Arabidopsis thaliana: one gene and its partners. The protein of the gene in region 1 interacts with the protein of each later gene in a pairwise test. Each region holds a gene or a part of one and is shown in the gene's direction. Other genes may lie near its edges. The genes, in order: AT1G68220, AT3G08930, PTR4 and AT1G05640.

The links.
Region 2: the proteins of AT1G68220 (region 1) and AT3G08930 interact in a protein complementation assay, tested with the Arabidopsis thaliana proteins (one large-scale study listed by BioGRID).
Region 3: the proteins of AT1G68220 (region 1) and PTR4 interact in a protein complementation assay, tested with the Arabidopsis thaliana proteins (one large-scale study listed by BioGRID).
Region 4: the proteins of AT1G68220 (region 1) and AT1G05640 interact in a protein complementation assay, tested with the Arabidopsis thaliana proteins (one large-scale study listed by BioGRID).

The regions. Positions count from the first base shown.
Region 1 is NC_003070.9:25,566,632-25,573,364, forward strand, and holds AT1G68220 (aerobic coproporphyrinogen-III oxidase (DUF1218)), read left to right. Parts: upstream 1-3,460; 5' UTR 3,461-3,690; coding exon 3,691-3,783; intron 3,784-3,864; coding exon 3,865-4,073; intron 4,074-4,627; coding exon 4,628-4,931; 3' UTR 4,932-5,102; downstream 5,103-6,733. Other genes in the region: APRR6 (pseudo-response regulator 6), read left to right, coding at 171-320, 410-880, 966-1,042, 1,136-1,334, 1,416-2,671; AT1G68230 (Reticulon family protein), read left to right, coding at 5,554-5,644, 5,724-5,910, 5,994-6,123, 6,210-6,279, 6,432-6,601.
Region 2 is NC_003074.8:2,710,492-2,719,815, forward strand, and holds AT3G08930 (LMBR1-like membrane protein), read left to right. Parts: upstream 1-2,820; 5' UTR 2,821-3,070; coding exon 3,071-3,420; intron 3,421-3,522; coding exon 3,523-3,608; intron 3,609-3,900; coding exon 3,901-4,016; intron 4,017-4,127; coding exon 4,128-4,238; intron 4,239-4,456; coding exon 4,457-4,555; intron 4,556-4,647; coding exon 4,648-4,770; intron 4,771-5,032; coding exon 5,033-5,095; intron 5,096-5,174; coding exon 5,175-5,239; intron 5,240-5,396; coding exon 5,397-5,506; intron 5,507-5,596; coding exon 5,597-5,711; intron 5,712-5,808; coding exon 5,809-5,874; intron 5,875-6,180; coding exon 6,181-6,291; intron 6,292-6,367; coding exon 6,368-6,434; intron 6,435-6,519; coding exon 6,520-6,567; 3' UTR 6,568-6,875; downstream 6,876-9,324. Other genes in the region: AT3G08910 (DNAJ heat shock family protein), read right to left, coding at 1-352, 618-982, 1,156-1,320; AT3G08920 (Rhodanese/Cell cycle control phosphatase superfamily protein), read left to right, coding at 1,783-2,222, 2,422-2,626; LHCB4.2 (light harvesting complex photosystem II), read left to right, coding at 7,226-7,726, 7,812-8,174.
Region 3 is NC_003071.7:475,745-483,050, forward strand, and holds PTR4 (Major facilitator superfamily protein), read left to right. Parts: upstream 1-3,232; 5' UTR 3,233-3,372; coding exon 3,373-3,429; intron 3,430-3,503; coding exon 3,504-3,606; intron 3,607-3,707; coding exon 3,708-3,925; intron 3,926-4,004; coding exon 4,005-4,491; intron 4,492-4,585; coding exon of another isoform or gene 4,586-4,614; coding exon 4,615-5,387; 3' UTR 5,388-5,441; downstream 5,442-7,306. Other genes in the region: GAD4 (glutamate decarboxylase 4), read right to left, coding at 74-479, 666-907; AT2G02023 (uncharacterized protein), read right to left, coding at 5,723-6,034; AT2G02026 (uncharacterized protein), read left to right, coding at 6,163-6,342; AT2G02030 (F-box family protein), read left to right, coding at 6,591-6,661, 7,152-7,306.
Region 4 is NC_003070.9:1,685,180-1,693,025, reverse strand, and holds AT1G05640 (Ankyrin repeat family protein), read left to right. Parts: upstream 1-3,070; 5' UTR 3,071-3,524; coding exon 3,525-4,128; intron 4,129-4,227; coding exon 4,228-4,637; intron 4,638-4,720; coding exon 4,721-5,590; downstream 5,591-7,846. Other genes in the region: AT1G05650 (Pectin lyase-like superfamily protein), read left to right, coding at 900-1,337, 1,758-2,047, 2,196-2,424, 2,535-2,762; 5PTASE13 (Endonuclease/exonuclease/phosphatase family protein), read right to left, coding at 5,873-6,235, 6,318-6,678, 6,776-6,899, 7,045-7,312, 7,399-7,707.

The DNA.
Region 1 (6,733 bases):
TTATTGACCGATTATAAATTTTAACTAACATACATGTGTTCATCATTATATTCCTTTTTATTTTATTTTTTATTGAATGAATAATCTAACAATTTGTTTTTTTAATAATTATATGTCTTAACCATTTTTCAAAAGTTGATATACATCTTACATACAAATTTATGTATTAGTGATGAGCGTGGATGTGGCAAGTAAGGCTCTATCGATGATTGAGAAGCAGAAGAAGGAAATTGGACTCATCATAGCTAACATTGAAATGCCTCACATAGACTCACATTCGTTCCTCAATGCTTTGCTTCTCAAAGATATTCCTCTCATATGTATGTCCATGTTCACACATTTTTCTTATGTTTATTGTTTCCACTATTCTTTTTTCGACTAATTAACATTTGTTTTCTCTATGTGAAAGTGATTAATCCAGAGATAAAGACAAAAGAACCATCAGATCTTTTGACAAAAAGAGCGTGCTTTTCTCTAGATAAACCAATTTCAAATGACGACATCAAAAACATGTGGCAACACGTCTTCTCTAAAAAGAGTCAAGAGTTAAAGAAAATCAACATAACTGAAGATCAAGAGAATGTCATGGATAAAGATACATATCAGATTGAAGCTTTCCGAGCAAACCTTAAGAGACAGAGAATAAGTCAAGCTTCTTTGTTAGGAAGACGACCATTCATCGACACATTTTCAACTTATGAAACATTCCAAAAGAGAAAAAGTATTGCAAATGTTGAATGGAAAACTACACCAAGTTATGCTATTGAGATTGAGAATAAGAGAAAGGAATGGAAGAAAAGTGTTGGAAGACGTAAGAGTTTGTGGAATAGTGAGCGTCACATGAAGTTTATAGCTGCTATCTCCATTTTGGGTGAAGAAGGTAAGATTTATATTTCACATTGACCAATTCGTTTTTATTTATTCAAGTTTAGTATACTAGTTTTTTACTCTCTTTTACCTTGCAGATTTTCGTCCAAAATCCATATTAGAGATTATGAATGACCCAAACTTAACTCATCGTCAAGTCGGTAGCCACCTTCAGGTTCATATATAAAATATATATATTTTTAACATAGAAATATGTTTGTCTTCTTATTATAGCTTTATACTAATATTTTTATTCTATGAATTTCAGAAATACAAGGCTCAAATTGACCAAATAAGCTATACATTGCCAAGAAATGAATCGAGATCGATAGATAAAACATTCGAATATCCTTCGAACTACAAATATCCTTTCAAAATATCAGACTTAACAAATAATCTCATTGTAAGTAATTCCTTGTGGAATTCTTTAGAAAAGAAAAACTCTGCATCAGCCTCTATCACTCAATGTAAGTATTATTCTATTATATAGATTTTCACGGTGTTACAATTTGTGTCATATAAGTATTAACAATTTTTTTTTAATGCAGTTTTGTTTAAAAAACCTATTGGTGAGAAAGAGGAAACAATGCCAAAGTTTCATATAGGCGGGAAATTAGATCTAAGCAATCATTCAGTTCATGGTAACGTCCTTAACAAGCTATCTATGAATGTTAACTTCGTTCCTTCAACCATAAGTAATAATCCAGCTTACAATATTCTTTCTATCGATAGCTCTAGTATCGATAGCTCTAGCTATACTGGTTTAGTTTCAACTGGCTTAAGTAGTGAAAATTCTCCTATCCTTTATGGTTTACCATCGAATGATGGTGCATCTAACACATGCACATCTCAGATGGAATCCGAAAGGATTTCTATTCCGCAGTATGATCCTAATCAATGTCACCCACATAGATCCATCCTTGAAACTGATGTAAACCAAATAGATTTAGATTTTACTTCTATACTAGATTCTTTCGATCCTCTAGTAGATGAGTGCCTTATGAAGGAAAACAATAGATTTCTTCCAAACCCTACCATGAACCTTTTGGATACCGATATAGACAAGATGGATTGGGTTTCATTTATAGAAAACCTTAGTCACCATGATATCAATATGAACCATATGGATTGGGATCCTTCAACAGCAAATTACGTTCTTCCTGAAACCAACATGAACATAAATTTTCCTGAAAAACATACAAACGAGATAGGTTGGGTTTCTTCACAAGTAGGTTATGTTCCTTTTGAAAATATGATTCCCTCTGAAGTAGATATAAACCATATGGGCATGGGTTATTCTGGAGGAAGTATTCCCCCTCAAGAAGAAACTAATACAAATAATGTGGGCTTTGTTTCTTGTGAAATACATAGTGAAATCCCTCCCAAAACTAATATGGCCATTCTAGAAACCAATTATTCAAATCCGTTAGATTGGGTTTTCCCTGAAGATATAACTTCACTCGAAACCAATACCATCCAAAAGAGTTTGGTTTCTTGTGAAACAAGTTACGATGCTTTGGATAATATGGTTCCTTTGGAAACCAATATGGAAGAGATGAACGATGCTCTTTACGATATTTCGATTGAAGATCTGATTTCTTTTGACATTGATGCCAATGAGAAGGATATATTCTCTTGGTTAGAAGACAATGGTTTTTCTGAGGAAAATAATATGATGGAGTCATGCGAATATCATAATATAGAATCTGTGAATCAAAGTGATGATATGAAGATAGACGATAACTTTGATGATTATCGTGAATGCATGGATTGGATTAACGAAGAGATGAATAAAGATGTATGAATAATGGTGAAAAAGGAGAACAACAAGATTAAAAGTAGTTTATAAATTTAATATGTTTTTGTATAATGCATATTCATATCATAAATATAGATGTATGTTAATCATAAACAATATGTATGAGATTCTAAAAGTTTTTCAGGTTCTTAATCGTACCATAAGTTTTCTTTTTTTGTTAATTTGTTTCTCAGTCTTTAATTAAAATGTAGTCAAACACTTTTAATTTGACCAAAGTTAGTATTTCTATTAAAATCAGTTCTAATAAAACTTATGACCAAGTAGTAGATGCTCTAGTATTGATCCTAAATCTAATTTTTTATTTTTTTTAAATAATAGTTTACTACTTTACTTCCAAAATTATAGTCAATTGTCATTATAACTATTATCATTGAAATATATTTTTGTCAACAAATATTATTTACTATAGATAACCACGAACAAGGCATCATATCTGTCAAAGAAGCATTGGCATGACTTCATGTGCTCTCTAAAATTAAAAGATATGTTTTGTCTCAATTGACATCATATTATTTTTTGTTACGTCGTAGTAATTTAATGACAAATTACTGAGTCTTTGATTTTTAGCAAGGTCGTCTTCCAACTATGTTTCTAAATCTAATCATGATTTCGGGGTTTGAAGGCAAAGGATGGAGCGTGCAAAGTCGATTTCTTGTTGTTCTGATGCTTGAGCTGGTGGTTGTGCTACCACTTAAAGCTACAATATGTATAAATATACCCATTTAATTACTTACTCTTAATCAAATATCTCTCAAAATTTCTCCACTAAACATTTGTAAACCACATCCAAAAAATAAAAAAAGAGTAACCAGATATAATGATTAGATGGAGACACTTTGACAATTAAGTCATAAATATTAGTGTTCAAAATTCTAAAAAAAGAGAAAAAGAGAAAACAAATATCAGTGTTATAAGGACACTTTAACGTTTCTTCACTTGCCCAAAGCTCTCTGAAGATAAAAGACAAAAGAGTAAAGAGAGAAAGAAGCACGAAAACCAAATCAATGGCGGTTTCAGTTTCAATCCTCACCGTCGTCACTGCTCTTCACCTCCTTGCTTTCGTCTTCGCCTTCGGTGCCGAGCGTCGCCGTAGCACCGTACCCAATTTATCTCTCTCTTACTAAAATTTGTCATTTTTCCGATTTGTGTTGTGAATTCGTGTTTTCTTGTTTATTCAGGCTGTGCCGGTTCCGGATCAGTACGATGAGAAGACTATTTGTAAGTACGGAACTGAGGCGTCGACAGTGTACGGTATGTCGGCGTTTGGGTTGCTTCTTGTTAGCCAAGCGGTGGTTAACGGTGTTACTAAGTGTCTCTGTTTTGGAAAGGGTCTTGTTACTGGTACTTCTTACACTGTCTGGGCTATTGTCTTCTTCGTTGTTTCTTGGTAAAGTTTATTCCTTTACTCTCTAATTGAATCTTTTGTACATCAAGATTTGAAATTGAGTTGATTTAAGTGGTATTTGGTAACCAAAATTTGAAATTTCTGATTAGGGGCTTTTAAGTTAGATTTGGAATGAACTAATTTGTGATTTGATTGTGTATATTTATGGGTTTTAACTTTGAAGTGAAAAGGAAAGTTTTTTCCAACTCTTTTCAGTATTGTGAACATGAAAAGTAAACACTTTTAGATTAGTGGGTATTGAAATTTGGTTATGTGATTTATGATTAATAAGTCACTTTGTTGCAAACTTGACTTCTTATTTACGTCCTTAACTCTTACTTGTGAGTTGTGGATGTCTCTATCTAAAGACAATGATAGTGGTAGGCTTCGTCATGGTCACAATTGAATATTCTATATGTTTGGTTTTACAGTTTGTTATCTTACCAAACTATGTGGATTCTATAAGAAAAGAAACGACCTTACAAGAATAAGAACTAGTTAGTTCATCTCTATGTTTGAGTACGTTTGTCTTAGTCATTGGTTTTGTGTATCTTTAGGGTAAGCTTTTTAGGAGCTGAGGCGTGCTTGTTGGGTGGATCAGCGAGGAACGCGTACCACACTAAAAGTGAAGGCATTTACAAAGGGAAAGAGCTTTCGTGTGCCGTCTTACCCGTTGGAGTCTTTGCTGCTGGAGCTGCTTTCACTCTCATGTCTTTGATTGCAACCATTCTTTACTACTTGGCTCATTCTAAGGCTGATACTGGCGGATGGGAGAAGCATCAGAACGATGGCATTAACATTGGTATGACCACTCCTTCAGATGCTCCAAAGCAACAAAACACCGAGTTTAACAAGGTCTAAACCAGTTTCTGTTTGGTCTTATGTTGGCTATGCTTTTAAAAACAGGGTAAAACTATAAAAAAAATAGTTGTTTGTTAATTGTCAATATAAACTTGTGTCGTCAGATATAATGTTGGCTTATGTATGTCTATGAGAAATTTGGTTTGGCTCAGTCATCATCTTAGCTTCCCACTTGACCTCATCTAGATTGTTATCATCTGCTAAAAGTTTAGACATGAAAACAATATGGGCACATAATGGACTGGGCCTACGAAGAGGCCCAATGATTGCATTCCTAACATATCTAGCCTCAACTTGGAATATACTTGCATGGGAAAGGGTTTAGCTATGATCAAAATGTTGATAACTTTTTGGAATACATTTTTGATCATTAACTCAAGTTAAGAAAGATTCTCTACAAGATATAAAACTAATTTATTCATGTAGCAATAAAATGATGAGTTTTTGCAATATGCTAAAGCCATACCTTTCCTGTTTTTTCTCAAATCGCTTTCTTCTTTATGAATCCAAGAACAAAACCGTTCTTATCCTAAAAGTTCGGAACTATATAATAAACCATGAATCTTAGACCTTAGCTCACAAAAAAGGCCACAGTTGTTTCAAAACCTGAAACCAAAACAAAATGGCGGTTTTTGGATATGAAATGGATGAACATAGAGCTTCTTCATCGAGACGACGAAGATCTTTGTACCACAATCTAGGAGGAGGACGATGTAACATATATTTTTCTTTCCGTTTTCACATTAATTTTGGTTCTTTTTCTAAAGGATTTTTCTCTTGAAATGCTTGTAGTTGCTGATATAATGTTCTGGAAGAACAAGAAAGAATCAGGAACAATCTTGGGGGTATTCACATTGATATGGTTCTTGTTCGAAGTGGTTGAATATCCTTTCATCACTTTCCTCTGCCAGATCCTCTTACTATTCATTTTCATATTCCTCATTTGGTCTTACATTGGCTCCTCACAACTAATCCAGAGGTAAGAAAAACATTAACACTACTTGAGATATACTTCTTTATGAATCAATCAACCAAGCTCTCAAGAAATGTTATTTTGCGCAGTAAACCTCCGAGTATTAATGATCTAAGGATTTCGGAATCGAATTGGAGATTCTTGTTCAACAAGATAAACTGGTTCATCATCAAATTGTATGATATTTCAAGTGGCAAAGACTTCAGACTCCTTTTTCTGGTATAAATCAATACACACAATTTCATTTTAATTATTTCATACCAAGATTGTTTTGATTTTATAACTTGTGTCTCGTTTCGTTTTAGGCCGTTGTTTCCCTATGGATATTATCAGTGGTTGGAAACTATTTCAGCTCTCTAACTCTATTATACATCGGTGAGTCTTAATGAGGTTATCTAACACATTTACTGATTAACACTCTACATTTTCCAAAACTTTTTCTTTTTGGTAAAAGCCTTTCTTTTTGGTAAAAGCCTTTCTTTTTAAGTATGGCTTTAATTACAAACATTTTTGGTGTTTTGGTGAAGTATTTGTGGGTTTGGAGACAATACCGATGTTGTATGAGCAATACGAAGAAGAGCTGACTTATGCAGCAAGTAAAAGTGGGAGGGACATGAAGAAGCTCCTAAACAAATTCAACTCCAAAGTCATTAACAAGATCCCTAAAGCTCAAGCTAAAACTAGAAGGACTATGTAACTTTTATGTATATCAATCTTCCAAATCTGCACATATTGTTACACATTATTAAAACTTAAAATAAGTCTTTGTTCATGTAATCATGATTGTTCATCAAGGAATTCAGGATTCAATGGGTATTGATCATTAGAT
Region 2 (9,324 bases), on another chromosome or scaffold:
CCCTTTCTTTGATGGGTCTTTAGGGATTGGCATGCCTTCACCTTTCACCACCTCTTCATAAGAAGGGCTGATCACGTTGTTAATTGGAACCGTTACTGATCTTCCATCCAGAGTCGAGACCTGAGCAGTGTATCCCGTGAGGGCTTCCACAAGAGGGATCTTCTGTGTCATCACAAGGTCATTCCCGTCTCGCTTGAACACCGCATGTGGCTTCTCATCAACTATGAATACAAGATCTGATGGTATGATTCCTCGCTGCTCGTTTCCTTTCTCCGGGAAGGTAATCTTCGTCCCTTTCTTCCACCCTGGCTTGATTTCTATCGTCAAGATCTCCTCAACTGTTGTGGGTCTCCTGCATTGCAACAAAGAATACACTTTCAACTTGCATTACCGATAACAACAACATCATAGCTACAAAAAAAACAACTCTAATGAGTCCAACATAATCTATCCAATGGCTAATGACTAATTTCTAGCACTACATCTTTCATGTATTTATCCAGCTCCAAAGCTCCTTAAGGTAAAAATTCCTAAGCAAATCAATGTTTTGGAACTAAATCCATAAGAAGGTGATTCTTAAACTCAATTCATGACAATGTAGCTGAAAAAAAACTGACCCGCTTGAATCGAGGACGTCCCGAGAGATCTTCATCTTCTTACTGACTCCTTTGTAGAGATCTTCCAAACTACAAGGAAGTTGTCTCTCAATAGGGGCAGCTTTCCTCGGTGGAACAACATTTGACGAGAAAACGTCTTCCGCGAACCGGAACCCATTAGAGGGACCTGCACCACGTGAGTCACCAAATGGTCTTGTGAAGCCAAAGAACTCCGAGAAGATATCATCTGCGCTTCTACCGTTGAACCGGAACGAAGCCCCTCCATCCGAAAACCCGCCGCCTGCTCCGGGAGGCGGAGCCTGGCTTGTTAGACCTTCTTCTCCATATTGATCATAGATGGCTCTCTTTTGAGGATCACTCAAAACCTTACAAAATCCAACAGCATAAGGAATCTATCAAACACAATTCTACAAGCAAATCAAGATTACTTAATTGCCAGAGAAGTAACCATAGTGAATTGACAAACTACACAATTGCTCAAATTCAAGCAAAAGATGGGAATCTCTCTGAAAAGAGAAAACGCATTTTGTTAATTTACATCGTAAGCTTCGGAGATCTGCTTGAATTTGGCTTCGGCGTCTTTTTTGTTGTTAGGGTTCTTGTCTGGATGCCACTTCATGGCGAGTTTGCGATAAGCTTTCTTCAAGTCGTCGTCTTTCGCATTCCGATCCACCTGAAGAACCTTGTAATAATCGACCCCCATTGCTATACCTCCTCCTTCTTCTTCTTCCTCTTTGATTCGCTCTTCGAATTTCACTCGATCTTCTTCAATGGGAAAAACTCTAGCGGATCATTCCGTACCGGTTCGAAATATTTATCGAGATACAAGAAATACCCGACCGGTTCTTTTATTTGGTCTTTACCGGTTCTGTTTTTGGTTCGGCAAACCTAGCTCAAAAGTCAAACCTTATCAGAATTAAGAATCACGGTGTCGTTTCAAAGAGAGGAAATTTACACTTAGTAGCCCTATATATTTATTATTTAACATTTGACCCCACTAGTATATGTTTGTTACTTTACTTTAAGCGAGGGTGATAGTCAAATTATGAAATATCTGAGGGCCTAAAATGGAAATAAGTAAGAAGTTTTGGGGTGTTCTTAAAATGAAAAATCTGAAGAACAATATCATTGGTTAAATTCCTCTGAAAATCCAAAAGAATTAAAGATGACAGTTCTTCTTCCTCAGCTAAACCATATCCACAAGCTACCAGTAGTACTAAACCGACGCCTCCGACAATCATACAGATTACCAGTGATCTCCGCCGTTTCCGGTAAAGAGCTGATACTTTCCGGCAAGGTACGGGCGGTGGAGCCCAAAGAAGCCAATGCGGTTGTGGCGTCGGAGGGATATATACTGTTAGACGTGAGGCCGGCTTGGGAAAGAGAAAAGGCACGCGTGAAAGGTTCCTTACACGTGCCACTGTTCGTGGAAGATCCAGACAATGGGCCGATCACGTTGCTGAAGAAATGGATTCATTTGGGATATATTGGGCTTTGGACGGGCCAGAGATTCACCATGATCAATGACGAATTCGCCCTCCGTGTTGTGGAGGCTGTCCCGGACAAAGAGAGTAAAGTGCTCGTCGTGTGCGGTGAAGGACTCAGGTACCAGCTTTATATGTTGCATTTTGGTTAATCATTGCCAGTTTTAGTCCAGATTTTAGAGAAACTTATCAAACTAAATAAACTATTAATCAATCGATTTGATCATAGAATCTTTTGGTTTGGATAGTATAAATTAAACTGAACTCTTTGGTTCGGTTTGGTTGTTATAAATGGTGTTGCTTTTCAATCTCATTCTCAGGTCGTTGGCGGCTGTATCAAAGCTCCACGGAGAAGGGTACAAAAGCTTAGGGTGGTTAACCGGAGGGTTTAACCGAGTATCCGAGGGAGATTTTCCAGAGATCGAAGGGACCGAAGAGCTTCGGTTCGCCACGATAGGAGGTGTATCATTTTATTTACTCAAACTACTTGTACTGTTACCGTCTTTTGGCCAGAAGAGTCGTTAAATTGGTTTTTTGGAGCCAAGTGTGAAGACATTTTTTGTTTTTAAAATTGTGTCCGGTTTACACAATTGGTCACTGGTTTATTACTTACAGATGTCTTTCATTAGTTGAAATATTTTGTCCGAATCATTTGCTTCGGACAGCTAATCTCCAAACCTAGTAACAATTTACGTTTACACCCAAAGCCATTAGGCACGAGAGCACATTGTTGAGGGTAGCTTCGTAATTTACAAGAATGTTCATCCTCTCCCAGTCCTCTTTCTTCTTCCCTCGTCTGGTTTTCGAGAGGGAAAAAAAGAAAGAAATCCAGATCTACTAAAATCCCCAAATTCAATTTTCAAAATTTGAACTCCTAGAAAACCCTAGCCTTTGCAATTGGGTGCTACATCTTCCAAATCGTTCCGGGATCGAAATCTCTCGAATTGGGGACGTTGTACATTGCACACGATGGGCGATTTCAACCTCGCTCTCGTGATTGTCGCGATCGTTGTTTGCGTCATCGTATTCATCTCTAGCATCTATCTTCTCGTCAACTATCAGCATCCAGATGATGCAAACCAGGCTTATTTCCCCAAATTCGTCGTTGTTTTTGGCCTTTCTATTGCTATGATCTCGATTCTCATGTTACCGGCTGATGTGGCCAATCGGCATGCTTGTCGACATGCTATATACAATGGAGCTTGCAATCTCACCTTGCCCATGAAGGATCTTTGGCTTGCTATTTATATCGTGGACGCTATTCTCGTGTTCTTTGTCATCCCCTTCGCAATGTTTTTCTATGAAGGCGACCAGGACAAGTTCGTAGCTTGATGAAATTTTAGTATCTCTATGTTGTAAGTTTTGAGTTAATCGAATACTGATGACAATTTGTGGGCTTTTTTTCTTTCGTTTTTTCACAGGACTCTTGGAAAGAGGATAAAAAGTGCCTTAATTTGGGTAGTTACCACGGCTGTTGTTTGTGCTCTGGTGCTTGGAATTTTATATGGTTAGTTGTTCCTCTGTTTTCAATTCTTTTGTCGACTTGAAATTCAGCGTCTTTCTGTATTGACGAATGACGATAGTCTGGAGGTTATACTTGTTTAGCTGGAGTGGTTATTGAATCCATTAGTGAGCATGTGGCAAGGATGAATCTGATGTTGGTCTCTATGATTTGACTGCATTCTTATGTTAATTTTGGCTTTTAAATTACCCAATCAGGGCTTGGGTTGAGATATCTATCTTATCCATTTATATGCTAGGAATACCTTAACATTATTGGTAACATCTTCATCATGTAGGTGTCATTGGAAAGGTGGACTTCTCGGTCAGGCATTTGGCTTCTGCCACATCCACTTTCCCTACTTCCTGGCAGTTTTCAAATACTCAACCATGCATAGGTAACACTGCTCGCCAGGTATGTTTGCCTCTTGAATGTAGCATTAGCATTAGTTTTTATATCATGAGTCATTTATGCCGTAGAGAGTTTCAGCATTTAACATATTCCTGTCTCTGGCTATCAATGCAGTGCTCAGCATTTACAGCTAATCCCACATCTGAGAAAACATGGACTATGCGTACTACTTTTCCAGAATATGTTGTTGCTCTTGCGACAATTGTTGGGTCAGTTCTTTTCACGGTATGACCATTGTTCTTTCATGTTGAGAAGTGCATTGTTTGCTTTGAAAGGATTTAATCTGTCTTATATTGTTGATTCTTCATTGACTAACACAAACTCTCAACAGATGAGATGCATGGCAAGATATAATTCTGTATCCATTGAAGTAAATAGATGTTTGATTTATACATTTCAGTAAAAAAAATCTGATAACTAATTGTTCTCTCAAATATTTCTAGATATTTGGTGGTGTTGGTATTGCATGTCTACCATTAGGACTTATCACTGCATTCATCAGGCGACCAAAGGCTGTTATCACTCGATCACAATATATAAAGGTCTGGTTATTGTTCTCCTCTGGAAGCATCTCTCTAGATCTTGAGTCAATCCCTCTGTCTCTTGCATGATTAACTCCATAAATATATTACAGGAGGCAACCGAACTAGGTAAAAAGGCAAGAGAACTAAAGAAAGCAGCTGATGGACTTCATCAGGAAGAAAGAAGTGGTGCTAAGGGCAGGAAATGGCGGAAAAATGTGAAAGCAGTTGAAAAGGTACCTCATATATCTCAAGGTTCAGTATCTTATCTAAATTTTGTTTCATAAGTAGCAACTTGGAAAGTTTGCCTATTCATACTGGTCCCTTGTGTGTAAAGAGGCTTTGGTCGTCTGTGGAGTTATGAGAATGACAACTTGTAGTGAAAAGCTAGTGAGATAGTAGAATTGGTTATTGACTTTATTGGTAGCTTTTCTTTGCTTGGTTGTGGATTTAAGCTGTGTCCCCTCAATCCTATAATTGAATGTGGTAACCCTGCAGGAGTTGCTCCAATTGGAGGAAGATGTGAACCTCTTAGAAGAGATGTATCCTCAAGGAGAGCAGGTAAGACGAGTGTATCTTAGAACTTATACTATAATATTTTTCTTGTTCAACTATTTTATTCCCTGGTACCTTTTTCCAGGCAGAAACTGCATGGGCTTTCACTGTGCTCGGATACTTGGCCAAGTTTATTCTTGGAATCGTAGGGTTAGTACATCTAAGCAGAAACCTCCTTTGCATTTTTTTTTGTTACATGTTGTATAAATCATGCATAATGCATACAGTTCTTGCATATTTAGGTTTGCACTCTTAAGCTCCCGAGCTAAGCGTCTTTTTAAATGGCAAATTTTTAATGTCTTTGTAGATTGATCGTTTCCATTGCTTGGGTTGCACACATCATCATATATCTACTCGTCGACCCTCCTCTCTCCCCTTTTCTTAACGAGGTTTTCATTAAGCTTGATGATGTTTGGGGTAAGTTCATACTTTTGTCCTTGTTATCCTGTATAAGGTTTCTTCTTTGTTTCTAACTGACTCCATGCTGGTACGTGTGGAAATCTCCAGGTCTTTTAGGCACTGCTGCCTTTGCTTTCTTCTGTTTCTACCTTCTACTTGCTGTTATCGCTGGGGCAATGATGCTGGGTTTGAAGCTGGTCTTCATTACCATTCATCCAATGAAGTAATCCATCTAACCGGTTTCAACATTATTTGGCTATTTTCCAAGGTCATTCATTACCTTCTCTTGATTGCTGATTGGCCATATCAACTTATTTCAGATGGGGAGCTACTCTAATGAACTCTTTCCTCTTCAATGTCGGCCTCATTCTTCTTTGTTCAATCAGGTAAGTCTCTCTGGTCTCTTCTTCTGCCTTTGTATCTGTTGGGATCAAGTGCACTCTGATAAACGGATCTAGATCAAGCATGTTTATGTGCATACATTAACTTATCAGTGTTTTCATGCCATCACTAAAACTAATTTCCTTTCCGGCGAATGCCTGAATCGAAGTTTATAGTTACTTTACTCATGCACTTGGGTATCCTTTGTACTCTATTAGATGTCAAACCAAGACTTTTAATATACAGCTGCTACCCTCACAATTACATGTTAATCCTCACAGTCTGAGTAATGTGGTTCATTTAAAATGCAGCGTGATTCAATTTTGTGCCACTGCATTTGGATATTACGCTCAAGCCACTGCTGCCCAGGAGATATTTGGCCACACATTGCAGTCCCTTAGAGGAATTAAGTACCTTTACAAGTAAGTAGAAGTGGTATAACATATAGCAGTCATATGCTATATCCGTGATGCGTCTTATTGAGGTTTTATATTTCAGGTACAATGTGTTCCAAATCGGGTTTGTTATCCTGGCTGGACTGACTTTCCTATATTACATTGCCTTTGTAAGTCCTCGTTGATGTTACTCCTCGGGTTTTCTCTTCTGTATTAAGTATTTGTAGAATCATATGGTCTTTGGTGTTTTGGCAGGGATGGAGAAGAAAAAAAACTAGTGGCCGTTTCCAGCTCTCTTCTTAATGTAAAACGTTTTCACGGGGATCTGATTGAGTGCTGTCGACAAAGTTTCTACTTGTTTCTGGATCATCATCGATTCCAGAAGTATCTAGAGACTCTGCTTCTGAGGTTTATTTTCCTGAATGTATTATTAAATTTCTTGTGAGTGTGCTGTTTGGTTGCGCAACAGTTAGCTGTCCTGTCTTGGTCTATTGTACTGTCTCGGATGCGATCATGTAATCATATTTTCTTAATGAGAAGCCTTCTTCGAATTTTTACAAGACAGAGACTTCCTTTGTGGTTTGAGACAATTGTAACCGAACCTAACCGGATTATCAATATTCTTGAATTTGTTTAGTATGCAAGGCATACAACTATACAAGTGGACATGTGCTGCTGAAGTGACAAGTGGCGTTGCTATGCGATTCGTCAATAGCTTCTTTTGCCCAATCAGCTTGCTTGCCTCATCTAACTCTAAAAGACAGACAGGATAGATAACGCGAGCTTTTTATAGATAAGGCTGATTTTGTTTCCTACCGTCAGATGGATTTGTTTCTCCATCTAACCGTCAAGATTCGTTCTCTGAGATCTCTCCCACACACATACCGCCACTTAAAAACGCCATTTGCTTCAGATAAGTTACAAACCGCAAACGCGACAGAACTAACTAACGACGCCGGAGATGGCCGCCACTTCAACCGCCGCTGCTGCTTCTTCAATCATGGGTACCCGGGTGGTTTCCGACATTAGCTCCAATTCAAGCCGGTTCACAGCCCGGTTCGGATTCGGAACCAAGAAAGCATCTCCCAAAAAGGCTAAGACGGTTATCTCAGACCGGCCTCTATGGTTCCCAGGCGCAAAATCACCCGAATATCTCGACGGTTCACTTGTCGGGGACTACGGGTTCGATCCTTTTGGTTTAGGCAAACCGGCGGAGTATCTCCAATTCGATTTGGATTCCTTGGACCAGAACTTAGCCAAGAACTTATACGGAGAAGTGATCGGGACTCGTACCGAGGCGGTGGACCCCAAATCGACGCCGTTTCAGCCATATAGTGAAGTCTTCGGGCTACAAAGATTCAGAGAATGTGAGCTGATTCACGGTCGGTGGGCAATGCTCGCCACTCTTGGCGCTATCACCGTCGAATGGCTCACCGGTGTTACTTGGCAAGACGCCGGCAAGGTATCGCCTCTTTTCTTTTCGTCACTTTTGCGTTTGTGTTTAGCGTTTCGACATCTGTCTGATTGTTTTATTTTTAATTTACCAGGTAGAGCTAGTGGATGGATCATCTTACTTAGGACAGCCATTGCCGTTCTCTATCTCGACATTGATATGGATCGAAGTGTTAGTGATCGGCTACATTGAGTTCCAACGAAACGCTGAACTGGACTCGGAGAAGCGTTTGTATCCAGGAGGCAAGTTCTTTGACCCGTTAGGACTAGCGTCTGACCCGGTGAAGAAGGCTCAGCTTCAGCTAGCTGAGATCAAACATGCTCGTTTAGCCATGGTTGGATTCTTGGGTTTTGCGGTTCAGGCGGCTGCAACCGGTAAAGGACCGCTCAACAACTGGGCGACTCACCTTAGTGACCCACTTCACACCACCATTATCGATACCTTCTCTTCCTCCTGATGTGGTGGCTTTTAGCTTCTACTGGTGTCATGTAATGATGTGGTGGCTTTTAGCTTCTACTGGTGTCATGTAATGATGTAACGTCGTTATTTTAAAGAAAATTTGGCACCTTTTGTATAAACGGAATTTCTTATACCTCGCAGTTTGTGTTTACGTAGATCATCGGAGTTATGATGAGCCTTTACATCAAATTAATCGTTTGCTAAATTCTGTCGAAATTGTTCACGTTAAGAAACATAGAATCATAAAGTTGACTCAAAAAGTGACCACCGATAAGTGGATAATTCCATTCACCAAAAAAAAAGAAAAGATTTTGTTTTTCTTCTACAGAGTAAAAAATAAGACGCAGCATCAAAACAGAGATAGCCCCAAAACAATTTCCCAAAACCCCCCTTAACCACTATCCCAACATCATTAGACAGAGCAAAGAGGAAGACCCGCAACTATTCTTTGAAACCTTTACTCAAAACAATGACGACAGAGAGAGAGAGACGCACGAGTAGTGATGATGGAAAAGCCTTTAAATTTATGATTAGAGCACGAGTCTTGCGATCATTCCTTGAGTCCAGCGTGCAGTGACCTTGAGATCTTCATCCTCTGATTCGAGACACTCATTGAGGAACTCATCACAGAAGGTGAAGTTTTGGAACAACTGCTTCGTGTTCTCCCCTACAACATCCGCAAGATCACCCATTGCTGCAACCGCGGCTTTTGTCACGCTCTCATCCCTGCTCCCAAAACAAAAACCGAGTAATAAGTTTAAACTGAATAGTGAAACTAGAAAAGATATATAAATTGATTATATTATTGAAAAAAGAAGGTACGGACCTCAGGGAATCTTTGGATACTAGTTCAACAAACTGCAACAGATGTTGAGCATAGGGCATCATGAGCTCAGCCTTTGCATCCTTGAACCCTTGCAGTATCCCGGAGTATGCTTCAAAGATGCTTCTCCGGAGTTGGTTTGCATAATCCATAAGCTCCTCGTCAAGGGTGTCCATCTGCGCACACACCTGAGCAGCACCTTGCATTATCTGAACAGCTGGAGCTACATACCTTTCAAAATGAGCACCAATCGCCAGAGCAATGTCTCCAAAGCATGAGAAGATTGGAGGCTTCACCGATCTGTGGAGTGCACCACTTTGAAGGT
Region 3 (7,306 bases), on another chromosome or scaffold:
CATATAACTTAACCGGATTGATAAATTCAATTTTGTCTTGGTTAATATTTCATCAATTTTTGTTTTGGTTTACCTGGACATTAGCACCGGTTACGATATTGGGCTTATCATAAGGAAGCCCTTGGGCCTTACGCTTATTCTGCCATTGTCTCTTAAAAGCCAAACCGGCCAACATAATCGCCTCCGACGATCCGACGGTGCCAACACCAACGGCAGCTTCACCGTCACCAAGCGGCGCGTTGAAGAGACGTGCTATCATGTTAACACATCGGTTCTGAAGCTCAGTGGTGACAGGGTACTCGTCCATGTCGACGTAGTTCTTGTTGATGGACTCCATCATGAGCTTGTCACATTCTGGCTCCATCCATGTGGTCACGAAGGAAGCTAGGTTCAGCCTTGGGTTACCATCGAGCATTAGCTCGTCGTTGATGATTTGGTAAGCTGCTTCTTTTGGGATTGAGTTCTCAGGCATTTCGAATCTAATGATGAAATGATGATACATTAAGTTAAAATAACGAAACATGTCCTTCCTTATAGTATATAACACATAATAAATCTACAACATTAACCACGGCCAAAAAAAAAACTATCCAAGGTTTACATCATTACATGTTACTATTGTTGACGAAAACATTAGACAAAAGATTTGTGTTACAAGTTGTTACCGTGGAAGAGAGTTGCGGACGTAACGAGAAGCAAAAGTTGAATGGATTGAGACATCAGATTCGGAAACTGTCTTAGACAAAACCATGTCTTCTTTCAACTTCGAACTTTGATTTTTGGGTTTGAAATGAACAAGAGGAAAGAATGTGTAGTAGTGTTTTTGTTTTGTAGTTGAAGAAGAATGTGTGGAATTAGAGGAAGAGGAGCAAATGGTATATATAGTAGAGAGAATGTGTCTCTTCATTTCGTGTTTTGCATCGTGAAAGGAAGCATCGCTGGTCCTTATTTATGTGCTCCTTTTTCAAACCTTTTCCTTACCAATGACTTTTCCTCATTATAATATTTAGACCAATGAATTACTAACTTTTAGAAACACGAATACTTTTATTACTATCGTATACAAATTCCGACCGTCATCTTTTTATTGGATCTTTCTAAGTTATCGTGAACATTTTATTAGTGATTTTGATTTTGTTTATTTAGCATCTCCCGCGATTTGATCAATTTCACACTTACATAATTATGTGAATATTACAAACGCGTTACGCGTAAAATGTGAATATAGTACTAGATTATATTGTTTTCGTGATTCCTTTTTGCTGTCAATGGAATTTATACCAATAAGCTAGAAACCAAATTCGAACTTATATTGGTATCACCACTAAAGGACATTGACTTTTTGTTGTAAGATCTCATATTACCATCTCTAAAGTATAAAAATTCAAATAAACATCAAACCCATGGTCTGACCTAATTAAACAAATAAAGTTAGGCGATTTATCAAACCTCCCACATGTTTAGACTAGCTTTAGAATAGCCCTAGCTTGGGTTAATTTTGTTGAAAACTAGAATCCACTAGCCCTAGCTTGGGTTAATTACGTTGAATACTACAGCTTGATCAGCATTGTTTCTAGATTACCTTTTTTTTTTTTTTTTCAATTGTACATAGGATTTACTTATATTTTCGAATGGATACATGAAACAAGAATACTTCATCATATATGTTTATATTTTTTAAAAAATCAGATTTTATAGACAATTCTATTTTGACTATTCAGGATATTATTAAATACAGTTTTCATTTTCTTTATCTATCTTGTTTTTATTTTTTGACTGAAGGACTTGTCAGTAACAAAAGTAAAACAACAGGTTTGTTATATCTTGTTTTTTTTTGTCTCCCCCAAATGATTTTCAGAAATAAAAATATTTGTGAGTGGCACTCATACGTAATTAAGAGGCAGGGAATGGGGCATAACTGGCAGTAAGAAACAAAAGAAGAAAAATAGTAAAAGTCAAAAGTCGACCCATCAGTCACTCTCTAACGCGTTAGTCAATGGGAACCGGCAAATGGAGACCGAGACGCCACTCGCCGAACCGGCAATTATGGGTAACCGCCACCGGTTTACTTCTCTAAAGTTCTGACTTTCCTTAATTATTGCAACACGAATTTTGAAATGGCCAATTAATACATGCTCTGTTCGGTTTTGTTTGTACTAGTCAACTATTAGCGACCGAATTATTGACTATTCAATAGTTCAACGTTAAATTATTAAGGACAATTCAAAACTATTCCTTTCATATTCAACATTTTTATTTAGAGACAAAATCACCAATCCATAATTTAATTTATTTATTTATTAATCATTTAAGCGGTTCGAAAACTATATCACTAAAATCAATTGGTAAACCAATAAATTACAAAACGATCATGATTTACTAGAGCTTCTCGTTTTTGAGGTTGAAGACTGTTGGTCTCCCAAAAAAAAAAAATCAATTTACCCCAAAACTATTTTTATTTTGCATTAATTAATTATTATCATAAAACTTTATTAACACCATAAATTGCATTTGGTGCTTCAAAAAATAAAATAGTATTTATTTACTTAATTCCTTACCAAATATTTTATATCCAAGTTGTGGAGGTCATAAAATTGGCCCAACAAGTACAAATTAGGAAACCCACTAATATTTAAAGCCCAATAGGTCCACTCAATTTTGCAATTTCTTAAAACGTGTTGTTAACAAGAACACATTTTATGGTCCAGTGGTCACCGCCACCAACTTCTCGACTTCGAGAGAGACAAGAGTAATCCAACGATCTGGTTGATAGTGGTAACACTGTTCCAATGAGCATTTTTTGGCATATCCCTCAATATATCTTTATTGGGAACATCTAGCGTTTTGTTCTTTCTTAGTCGGCTTGATTTTTTCTATGAACAATCTCTAGATGCAAAATTTGTGTAGTGCTTGGACTCTTCACTCGGCTCATTGATTCTTACACTTGTTGCATATTTCACGACAATGAACCTTAGTAACGGTCATCTTGATTACTATTTTTGGCTTTTGGTCTGTCTTGGCTTTGTTAATTTACCGGTTTGGCTAGAAAGGTTTCGTAAGATTTGTTTGATGTCTTCTTTAAAACTTGAAGTCTCTAACTTGTTTGATAACTTTTGTTGTGTTAGGGGAAAAGTGTGCTATGGCTCAAAATTTGCTTAATGCTTAAGTCTAATCAGATTAATAAAGTTTGTGTGGTTTTATATTCCCTCTTTTTTTTTATAACATTTTTTAAAGAATGTGGTTCTGTGGTGAGTGACCACTCACACCACCAACAACAACTTGGTCAGTGGGAGGATCATTTTATTTGATCCTTCGTTGAGAAGCTTAAATCAGCTTTACGTGAAAATTGTCATGTTGAGGAGAAAGTAAAAAATGGCTTCCATTGATGAAGAAAGGTCACTTCTTGAAGTTGAAGAATCTCTTATACAGGTTCAACCTCATTGTCATTGTTTCTTTAGTGTTTTGGGGTCTAAATCTTTGTTGACTAATTCGTTTTTCTCCAGGAAGAAGTAAAATTATATGCTGAAGATGGTTCAATAGATATTCATGGAAACCCACCATTGAAGCAGACAACAGGAAACTGGAAAGCTTGTCCATTCATTTTTGGTAAACACTTTGTTTTATTTCACTTGTAATGTACTTGTTGTATTCTCTCATGTTCTGTCTTTAATCTCCAAAAACTGATATCTATGCTTTGGTTGGTGCAGCAAACGAATGCTGCGAACGGTTGGCTTATTATGGAATTGCCAAGAATCTCATCACGTACTTCACAAATGAATTGCATGAGACTAATGTTTCTGCTGCTAGACACGTCATGACATGGCAAGGAACATGTTACATCACTCCTCTTATTGGAGCTTTAATAGCTGATGCTTACTGGGGAAGATATTGGACTATTGCTTGTTTCTCTGCCATTTATTTCACCGTAAGCATTTTCTTGAAAAATAACTTTGCTTTATGTTCTGTTCTTGGCTTGATGTTCTGTTCTTTGATGTTGTTTTAAGGGAATGGTTGCATTGACACTCTCAGCTTCAGTTCCGGGTCTTAAGCCAGCGGAATGCATTGGCTCTCTATGTCCACCAGCAACAATGGTTCAGTCTACGGTTTTATTTTCAGGGCTTTACCTTATCGCTCTTGGCACTGGAGGAATCAAACCATGTGTCTCATCCTTTGGTGCTGATCAGTTTGATAAGACCGATCCAAGCGAACGAGTCAGAAAAGCTTCTTTCTTTAACTGGTTTTACTTCACTATCAACATTGGTGCTTTTGTTTCATCTACTGTTCTAGTTTGGATTCAAGAGAATTATGGATGGGAATTAGGATTCTTGATACCTACCGTGTTCATGGGACTTGCTACTATGAGTTTCTTCTTTGGCACGCCGCTTTATAGATTTCAGAAACCGAGAGGTAGCCCGATTACTAGCGTCTGCCAAGTTCTTGTAGCCGCATACCGTAAATCGAATCTCAAGGTCCCTGAAGACTCCACGGACGGTTACAAGAAAATCTTTTTCCCTCTCATTTCTTGTTTGAATTGAGCATTAGTCTATTAACGGTTAAATAAACGGGTTGTGATATCAATGTACAGGTTTCTTGACAAAGCGGCAATTATATCAGAAGGAGATGCAAACACTAACCCGTGGAAGCTATGTACCGTGACTCAAGTCGAAGAAGTTAAGATTCTGTTACGTTTGGTCCCCATTTGGGCCTCAGGAATCATCTTCTCAGTTCTCCATTCACAGATTTACACTCTCTTTGTTCAACAAGGACGGTGCATGAAACGAACCATCGGCTTATTCGAAATCCCTCCCGCAACTCTCGGGATGTTCGACACTGCAAGTGTTCTCATATCTGTCCCAATCTATGACCGCGTCATCGTTCCCTTAGTGAGACGGTTCACAGGCTTAGCTAAAGGATTCACCGAGCTACAAAGAATGGGGATTGGTCTTTTTGTCTCTGTTTTGAGCTTGACATTTGCAGCTATCGTTGAGACGGTTCGGTTACAGTTAGCTAGAGATCTTGATCTAGTGGAAAGTGGAGACATTGTTCCATTAAACATCTTTTGGCAAATCCCTCAGTACTTTTTAATGGGCACTGCTGGAGTTTTCTTCTTTGTTGGGAGGATTGAGTTTTTCTATGAGCAATCTCCAGATTCAATGAGAAGCTTGTGTAGTGCTTGGGCTCTTCTCACTACTACACTAGGAAACTACTTGAGCTCGTTGATCATTACCCTTGTGGCGTATTTGAGCGGAAAAGATTGTTGGATTCCTTCAGACAACATTAACAATGGACATCTTGATTACTTCTTCTGGCTTTTGGTCAGTCTTGGATCTGTTAACATACCTGTTTTTGTCTTCTTCTCTGTGAAATATACTCATATGAAGGTTTGATCTCTTCTTCTGGCTCTTGTGTGTACTTTCAAAATTGTTTTTTTTTAAACCAGCAAATCAGTTATATTAAATCATAACGGTTTACATGATACATACAACAACCATTCAAATATAACTATTGAAACAAATAAAGGAAATTGAACACAATTTTGATGAAGAAGTGTAAGTGACCCTGCTTTCGAAACGGAAGCCTTACAGGCAACAAAATAAATCTGTTAAGTCCTCTCATCATACACTCGCAAAAAGCTAACATCTTATAGATGAAACTCCTAAATGCTTTCTGCATTACTTTAATAAAACGAAGAATTTGGTAAGTTGCTCGAAATGGTTCTGAATCATGCTTTTTGAAACGCTCTGCACCGGTTAATGACTATGGATTTTCCTTTTACAAGACTCACTAACGGATTCAATCCATTAGTTTTCATTTTCTCTTGCGCCAATTTGTCAAATCTTCGAAGACATAATATTCCCGGAACCCATATTCGTCGACCGAAGCACCAGTTGTGAGGAAGAGTCGCTACGAGCCTCATTTGATCTTCGGCTAAAACCTCTTGCAACGGTTCACTAGGAAGCGCACCAGAGTCAATCGAAGATTGGCAATGTATTGCCAAATTGACATCGCAATGGGATGTTCCCATCACAGACATAAAAGATGCTTAGCGGATCCGTCGAACAACTTCTCCACACCGGCATCGAAATAGAAATTTACCGTTCCCATGAAGAGAAGGAGGCAAAGAAATCGGCTCCATTGTAATGGAAACCATAAGAAAATTTTATGAAAGAGAGACATGGCAGTTACTATGAAATGATTAAACCGCACCAAGAGAGAAGAGAACAACGCACTGGTCGTATGTTTGATGCAACATACGTTGGTGATGGTGCCCATGATGTTTGCGACAAGATCTGCTTCTTCATGGTGATGATGGTCACAACAAGTTATGTTAATCTTGCTTGACGACGGATCGTGATTTGTTCGAGACAGGCCCGTCTCTGGGGGTGGCAAGGTAGGCAAATGCCTAGGGTTACTAACTAATTTCAAAAAAATTGTTAAGACTAAAAGGCCCCAATATTTCAAAAAAAAAAATTTACTAAGAAATTTTATTTTATTTTGGGTTTTGCCATAGGTCCCATAATGAATTGAGCCGGGAGACTGTTTGGTCAGTTTCGTCACGACAGATTTTGGACAACCCAACCAATGGTGTAATGAGTGGCAAAACCAGTTCTCGCGGCCAACAAGATGAGATATCCGGCGAAAAACATGAACCGACACCAACGTAAGGAGAAGAGAGAGAAAGACGATAATCGCCAAAATAATCACTCACAAATTTGTTTTTATTTTATTTTAGGGGAATTTAGTTAAATTTTGAATTATTATAGTTCTTGGATTCAGAAGTTATTTACGTCAATCTAAGATTTGAGTTAATCTAGGCAAATCTTAGTATTATTTACTATGTAAATGAATTACATTATTCCAATTAGAGATTTGTTCTAACAATTTTGTAGTTATTTTAATCTTAAAAGTTTGAGGCTTTGAGCCATGGATAATAACGGAAAACAATTCTCAAATAAAAAAATAACAAAGAAACATTAAACTATATAGATATATACATCATAATTCACGTTGATTCCAGCCACTCTTTATGACGGTTACAAAGAAAATATGGAAACAGAACTTATAAATTCAGCGCACATTGAATTTCACAAGAGTCAGAAGAAATCGATGGAGAAACTCCTTACGATCAAATAAGTTTCTTTGTCCGCAAGAAAAGAAATCAAACGAAGAAGAAAAGAGTTTGAGAAGATCCATATACCTAACGAAATCGTCGAAGAAATCTTGGTGAGGCTGCCGGTGAAATCGCTCACGAGATTTCAAACTGTGTCAAAACACTGGAGAACTCTGATCACGTCGAAGTATTTCG
Region 4 (7,846 bases), about 24 Mb from region 1:
AAATCTTGGTTCTGAAAGTGTTCCTAATACTTCCAAAACATAAGTTTTGCATATAGCTGCAAGGAAATGGCAGATGACAAATTGTTCTTTTAATGGATTATATTGTTCTTCTCTTTGTTGAAATTTTGATAAAATTAAAGTTTTTAAGGATTTTGTTCCATGATCATTTTACCTTCTTGGAGAAAAGTAATACTTTATTGATAAAAAGAATACTCTAAAGATTAGGATAGATATTATTCATTTAATTTTGTTACTACTATTTTTTTTATAAAGAATTCCTATTTTTATGGTAGTTCTTTCAGGAGTTTGTAAATTTTGTGTCGATAACAAAAAAAAAAAAAAAAATCAACTCTGCACTCTATAGGGGTTTTGGTTGAGTTTCTTTCTCTTAGTTTATGGCTGAGTTTCTATTTATGCACAAATGATAGTTTTCTTCATTTAGTATTGTTGGTTCTCTATAGAATTAACGTTATATACGGTTTATGTTCTAATCAATCGCTGAGTGGGTTTCCACGTATTTATTTTGTTCATCAATATATAAAAACAACATGTACCAAGAATATAATACATATACACATACGTATATGGCCCATGTTATATGGGAAATTGATAATGTGCAAAAATGTCATCGTTCATACAACGACCGTTGCTCCTAAAAGTACGATATCAACCATGTGTGCACCTAATGATTGGAAATGTAAACTCTTTTATCAATCATAAAATATTCACAACCTCTTATCATATAGATATCACATGTACTTAATTGTACCATAGACTCCAATAACGAACCAAAATAATTATGCTCTCTCTCCCTATATATACCCATGCATCAAATCAAATCAATTCAAACACAAACACAAACACAAACACAAACATAAACTCAAACTCACATATAAAAAATGACAAAATCAGCTATAACATTTCCACTTATCTTCACACTTCTCACCTTCATCGATGTCTCGAGCAGCGCCTCCATTGTTTTCAACGTCGTGAGCTTCGGGGCCAAACCAGACGGAGTCACCGATTCCACAGCAGCATTCCTAAAGGCATGGCAAGGGGCTTGTGGCTCGGCAGCATCAGCCACGGTGGTGGTCCCCACGGGGACATTTTTGTTGAAGGTAATAACGTTTGGAGGGCCATGCAAGAGCAAAATCACATTTCAAGTGACCGGAACCGTCGTTGCTCCGGAAGATTATAGGACCTTTGGCAATTCCGGTTCCTGGATTCTCTTCAACAAGGTTAACAGATTCTCACTGGTCGGTGGGACTTTTGACGCTCGAGGTAGTGGGTTCTGGTCTTGCCGGAAATCTGGCCAGAATTGTCCTCCCGGTGTTAGGGTACATATGCTTCTCCTCTATCTATAGTTATTGTAAATAAAAACAACAATCTGACATTCATACATAAGCGCCACCAGAATGCAAAAGAGCAACAAATAGCTTTAATCATTATTGATTAGTAATAACTAAATAAGTCAATATATTTTTTTTAATAGTCAAATAACATATCTTTATTCCAATCATTTACTTACGATTAAAAAAAAAAAGGAATTAGTTGATAGTTTTCAACTATATTAATTCAGGCACATTTAATTTTCAATATGATCTATCCATGCCATTTTTAGGAATTTATTTTATAAGCATATAATAACTATTATGATAATGATTTTTGGACAAGGAAATGGATTCTTTGGTCAAAATAAAATGAAATATTTATAATCTTATTATTAATCTATGGCGTTTATATATTAATTACTGTAGTCAATATCGTTCAACTCCGCAAAAGACGTGATCATAAGTGGAGTGAAATCGATGAACAGCCAGGTTAGCCATATGACCCTCAACGGTTGCACCAATGTGGCCGTCCGTAACATTAGGCTGGTGGCTCCCGGAGACAGCCCAAACACTGACGGCTTCACCGTTCAGTTCTCCACTGGAGTCACATTAACCGGAAGCACCGTTCAGACCGGAGACGATTGTGTTGCTATCGGTCAGGGGACCCGCAACTTCCTAATTTCCAAGCTTGCTTGTGGCCCAGGTCACGGGGTTAGGTATACACCACCGTCTAATTCCTTAGAGTAAATTATGTAAATATATCATTAATTGTTAGGAATCATGAATTTCCAACAAAAAAAAAACTAGCAATATTGCCTTCACTCACTCTGGTCACAACTCATATGATGATGTGATGACTGGCAGCATCGGGAGTTTGGCAAAGCAGTTAAACGAAGACGGAGTAGAGAACGTGACAGTATCGAGTTCGGTATTCACCGGATCACAAAACGGCGTGAGGATAAAGTCATGGGCGAGGCCGAGTACCGGATTCGTTAGAAACGTCTTCTTTCAAAATCTAATCATGAGGAACGTCCAAAACCCTATCATAATCGACCAAAACTATTGTCCGTCCAACCAAGGTTGCCCTACTGAGGTATATCCATATCATATTTTTGATCAATTTCAGACTAATCAAATATGCTATATCAAATTATCAACTTAGTCAAATAACTAAAGATTTATTATGTTTATGGTATGTATTAGCATTCGGGGGTGAAGATAACCCAAGTGACGTACAAGAACATACAAGGAACTTCGGCGACGCAGGAAGCAATGAAGCTGGTGTGTAGCAAGAGCAATCCATGCACGGGAATCACATTACAAGACATAAAGCTTACTTACAACAAAGGAACTCCTGCTACTTCCTTGTGCTTCAATGCTGTTGGGAAAAATCTTGGTGTTATTCAACCTACTAGTTGTCTAAATCGATGAATTTATTTGGGGTTAAGATGATATCACTGTGAAATGTTATTAGGAAACTGATTTTTCAAATAGTTTTCTGTAACAAGGTATATGATCACCAATTTCTGTAACATACAATTTTTTTTTTTTTATTAATAAAATATTATTTTCAGTAACCAACAAAGTGGAAGACTTTGACTTGTTGTCACCATCACATTGTGCTTTTGCTTTTTGGTCTTTGATTTGGACAACAAAAATATAAAGAAATTAGAGAAAAGAAGCTTTAACTGGATATAAAGTTTTAAACTGGAGATAATTGACATAGTAATTAAGAATTTGTTGCTTCAAAACTCAAAAGAAAAAGTAATCACTAATATTACTAAAGATTTTGGAAGTTTAGCGAAATTAATAAAGAAAACAGCTGAAGATGCAGTCACTCATCACAGTCTCTCTCTCTATCTCTATATCCTGAGAATCTTACATGATTTGCCCACAAAAAGCATTGAGATTTACAAATCAATCTATTGGGTTTCAGCTACACTCTACTGAAATCAGCTGCAACCTTTTTTTTTTTTCTCTCTCTTCTTTCATCACATCGGTTTGAATCTTTACAAGAAATCTGGAAATCACAGGGAAGTCAGGGTTTTCCATTTTCAAGCTGGTTCTGTTATTACGAAACACGGGTTGCTGGAAAAGAGCTCACGGATTCTTCAAACAAAGTTGGCATCTTTCAGATTTGGGAGAAAAAGTTGTTATTCAAGATCTTTGTGTAATCTAAGGGAGAAGCATACCATGAGTTCTCTGGTTCCTGTTATGGAGAAGCAAGAGAGCGTTCGAGGTAACTCTGTGGAGGAACAGCAGAGTCTCAGATGCGTTGGTGCAGAGAATCAGGTGAGAAAGGGAAGAGCTTTGGACAAGCAAGTTAGTTTCCTAGCTGTGAATGTTGTTGAGAAACATGGAATCAAAGGAAGAGCAATGGAGAAACAGGAGAGGGCAATGGAGAGGCAGAGAAGCTTTCGTGGGTTTGTTGAGAAGCAGAAAAGCTTTAGGGTAGTAATGGAGAGACAGTTAAGTTTCATGAATGTTGGTGGTGAGAGGAAGAAGAAGACTGACTCACCTGGTAAAAGAGGAGATTCTCCTCTTCATCTCGCAGCTCGAACGGGGAATTTGGGAAAGGTTATGGAATTGATTCGAGCTTGTAACGGCATTGAAGAGTTGAAGGAGTTGTCATCAAAGCAGAATCTAGAAGGAGAGACCCCTCTTTATAGTGCAGCAGAAAATGGGCATTCATTAGTTGTTGAAGAGATGTTGAAACATATGGATCTTGATACTGCATCAGTTAAAGCTCGCAACGGTTTTGATCCTTTCCATGTCGCTGCAAAACAAGGCCATATTGGTAAATGAAACTTTAGAGAATCTGATAATAACTTGAAGACCTTGTTATTGTTGTACACCTTCTTGACATATATCTTTGAATGTGTGCTGTCTTTTGCAGAGGCATTGAAGAAATTGTTGGAGACATTTCCGAATCTGGCTATGACGGTGGATCTATCGTGTACAACTGCATTGCACACGGCTGCTTCACAAGGACACACTGATGTGGTGAATCTTCTTTTAAAGACGGATTCTCATTTAGCTAAGATAGCTAAGAACAATGGTAAAACCGCACTTCATTCTGCAGCGCGAATGGGGCACAGAGAAGTGGTTAAGTCTTTGATAGGTAATGATGCAAGCATCGGGTTTAGAACTGATAAGAAGGGACAAACAGCGCTTCACATGGCTGTCAAAGGTCAGAACGAAGGGATTGTTCTTGAGTTGGTGAAACCTGATCCTGCGATTTTGAGTGTTGAGGATAGTAAAGGGAATACGCCGTTGCACACTGCCACAAACAAAGGCCGTATTAAGGTATCATCATCGCTAATTCCCCCTCCCCTCAGTTTCTCAATCTACAAGAATTCTGATGAACTGCATTTTGCCTTTGCTTGCAGATAGTGAGATGTTTGGTATCATTTGATGGAATTAACCTTAATGCTATGAATAAGGCTGGAGATACTGCACTTGATATAGCCGAAAAGATTGGAAATCCAGAGCTTGTGTCGGTTCTGAAGGAAGCAGGAGCTGCAACAGCTAAAGATCTTGGGAAGCCTCGAAACCCGGCTAAGCAACTTAACCAAACGGTCAGTGACATTAAACACGAGGTACAGTCTCAGCTCCAACAGTCTCGCCAAACGGGTGTTAGGGTGCGGAGAATCGCAAAGAGACTGAAGAAGCTTCACATCAATGGTTTAAACAACGCTATAAACTCTGCAACCGTTGTGGCTGTCCTAATTGCAACAGTTGCATTTGCAGCAATCTTCACCATTCCTGGGCAATATGAAGAAGACAGAACAAAGGGACTGTTGTTATTAGGAGAAGCCCGCATAGCCGGCAAAGCCCCGTTTTTAGTCTTCTTCATATTTGACAGCTTGGCGCTGTTCATATCTTTGGCTGTTGTTGTGGTGCAGACTTCAGTTGTGGTGATTGAGCAGAAGGCAAAGAAGAATCTTGTGTTTGTGATCAACAAGCTCATGTGGTTGGCTTGTTTGTTCATATCCGTAGCCTTTGTTTCTCTTTCGTTTATCGTTGTGGGTAAGGAGGACATTTGGCTGGCGATTTGTGCAACGATTATTGGCGGGACGATTATGCTAACCACGATAGGTGCAATGTGTTACTGTGTGGTCATGCATAGGATCGAGGAATCTAAACTGAAAAGCTTAAGGAAAGAGAGAAGCAAATCGAAATCTTTCTCACTATCTCATATGCCTTCAGAGTCAGAGATTCTCAACGGCGAATTCAACAAGAGAATGTATGCACTCTGAGACTAAAATCTCCAGAACAGGCAATTTAGTGTAAGAGTAACAAATGTATACATGGGTCACGTACCTGTAGTTTAGATTCAAGTGAGGAGATACAAAAGTTGAATACATGCTACCTGAGGAACAGTCTCAAAGCAAATCTACAATTTCTGACACAAAATGAATTTTCTAAAGAATCAACGAATGAATAAAAGCGATTCTTCACCTGATGCATTTGTCTTGTGATGACTTTGTTGTTCTTCTGCTCTAAGATCTAGTTAAAACTGTCAAAGTCACAAGAGCTCATCACCGGCTTTTACCTCGTCTAACCGAGTCTTCAGTTCTTGGTCTAGTGCTTCCATTACGGGTAATATCTGTTGGGTAACGACGTGAACCACCTAAGTTCTTTGTTAGGTTCGTGGGTCTGTTCTCAAGGAGACATACTCTGGCTGAGAAGCAGTGACGGACTTTGACAGAGTGGCTTCTCAATGTTGTTGAGCAGCTTCCTCGAATGTTCACCATCAGGATTGCTTCTTTATCTCGAGTGTCTTCGCACCACCAATTCTGTGGGATGCCATCAACATATTCCTCCATTGAGTAAAAATCTTCGTGATGAACTTTAACGTCTACGGATCCTTCTGGATTTATTATCCCTGCTGCGGGAGAAACCTAAAAGAAAAAAATTCTTGTATATCACTAAATCTTGAATACTACAAGAATCTTCATTTGGCGTCAAAAGAGAATTTAATACCTCGAGCCAGCGTGGTAGACCAAAGGAGCCTCGTGGATTGTAGTCAGCATCTTCTCCGTCATCCTTAACTACAGCCTGGCCACCGCACAGAATGTTAAATATGGCTTGGCTCGTGGGTGAATTGTTTGTGATTGTTAGGATGACTGTGTCCTGACTCTGAAGAACAATGTTGTTGGTGCTCACAGAAGTTTCTGGAACAAATCTTAAATCTTCGAATATGGATAAAATCTTCTCATTAGACCTTATTATTTTCCCCAGTTCCTGTCTCCGCACAGATTTATCAACATGAGCTATTGTCGCATGAAATTTGCAGCGCACGGGTTTGTGATCGCTCTCAGTAACATCCATGCAAGCTTCATACCTGTTGAAACACGCAGGTGGGAAGTTAGAATGGAGAAAACACATTGAAGAGACCGGAAAAAGCGAGAAACATCAGAAAGGTCGTCATGAAACCATACATTATGACTGATGAAACTACAGGGCATTGCAAATTGCTCTCAGAGAATGGGCTAGATTGAGTGTCTCTATATATAACTCGGTCACACCACGCAGGAATTCGCTTTTTCTCCCCTGAATCATATCCTGGAGAGTACACAGCACAGAAAGATTCAGTTTTTTTGGAGCCACCATCTCTTACAAAACAGAGGAAAAAATGCAGAGAACAGAGCAGAGCAAAACTGCTTCAATTTTTTCAAATTCATATCTTATGTATCAAATCCACTTTTACCTCCAAGGCCTGAGCGATTCCTTTCAAATTTGTAAGTGGGAGGGAAAGTGATTAATGCCTCGCGCATTCCTTGGAAGACTTTTCCAACCTTCATCTCTGCTCTAAGTTGGTCTCTTTCTCTGAGCCAATCGAAGGATCGCTGTGAAATGAAGTCCCTTGCTTCATCATAGGTTATACCAAACAGTCTATAGTTGAAATCGCCAAAAAATGCGACCATGTCTGCTGCTGCAAGATCAGACTTGATTTCTTCAGCGCCGGTGCTTGGAATCTGGAAAACAGAGAAACATGTTAAATACAAATTTAAGGAGCAAACAACATAAACTCAGGAGTAAAGGTGATATGATAAGAACATACAGTGTTACTCTTTGTTGTATAAGCTGAAGTTGAGACACCAGCTGCAAGAGAGAGGGCCCATGGCAAACCAGAAGAATAAAGCAGCCAAAATAAATATGTGGAAAAGCCAAGTGAGCAAGACAAAAACAGGTACGGCACCATACCAGCTGCAGCGTTACTTAGATTTTGTCCTCGGGAAAAGACCATCAATCGAAAAATGTGATTGAAATCTGCGTTTCTGCGATTAACCGCCTCCAAGTGTGCAGCCAAGTGGCAATTCACAAAGCACATTATTCGGTCATAAACTCTGATTCTCAGACCTACACCTCCCTATTTGACAAGTAGGACATTAATGCGTGTAAACGGAACAAGTACCTCATAGAGAACTAAATTTGAATTAACATCTATATCGCATTGTCATCTACATCTTAGCCAGATAGAAGAGATTACACATTGTGGCAAAAGGCTA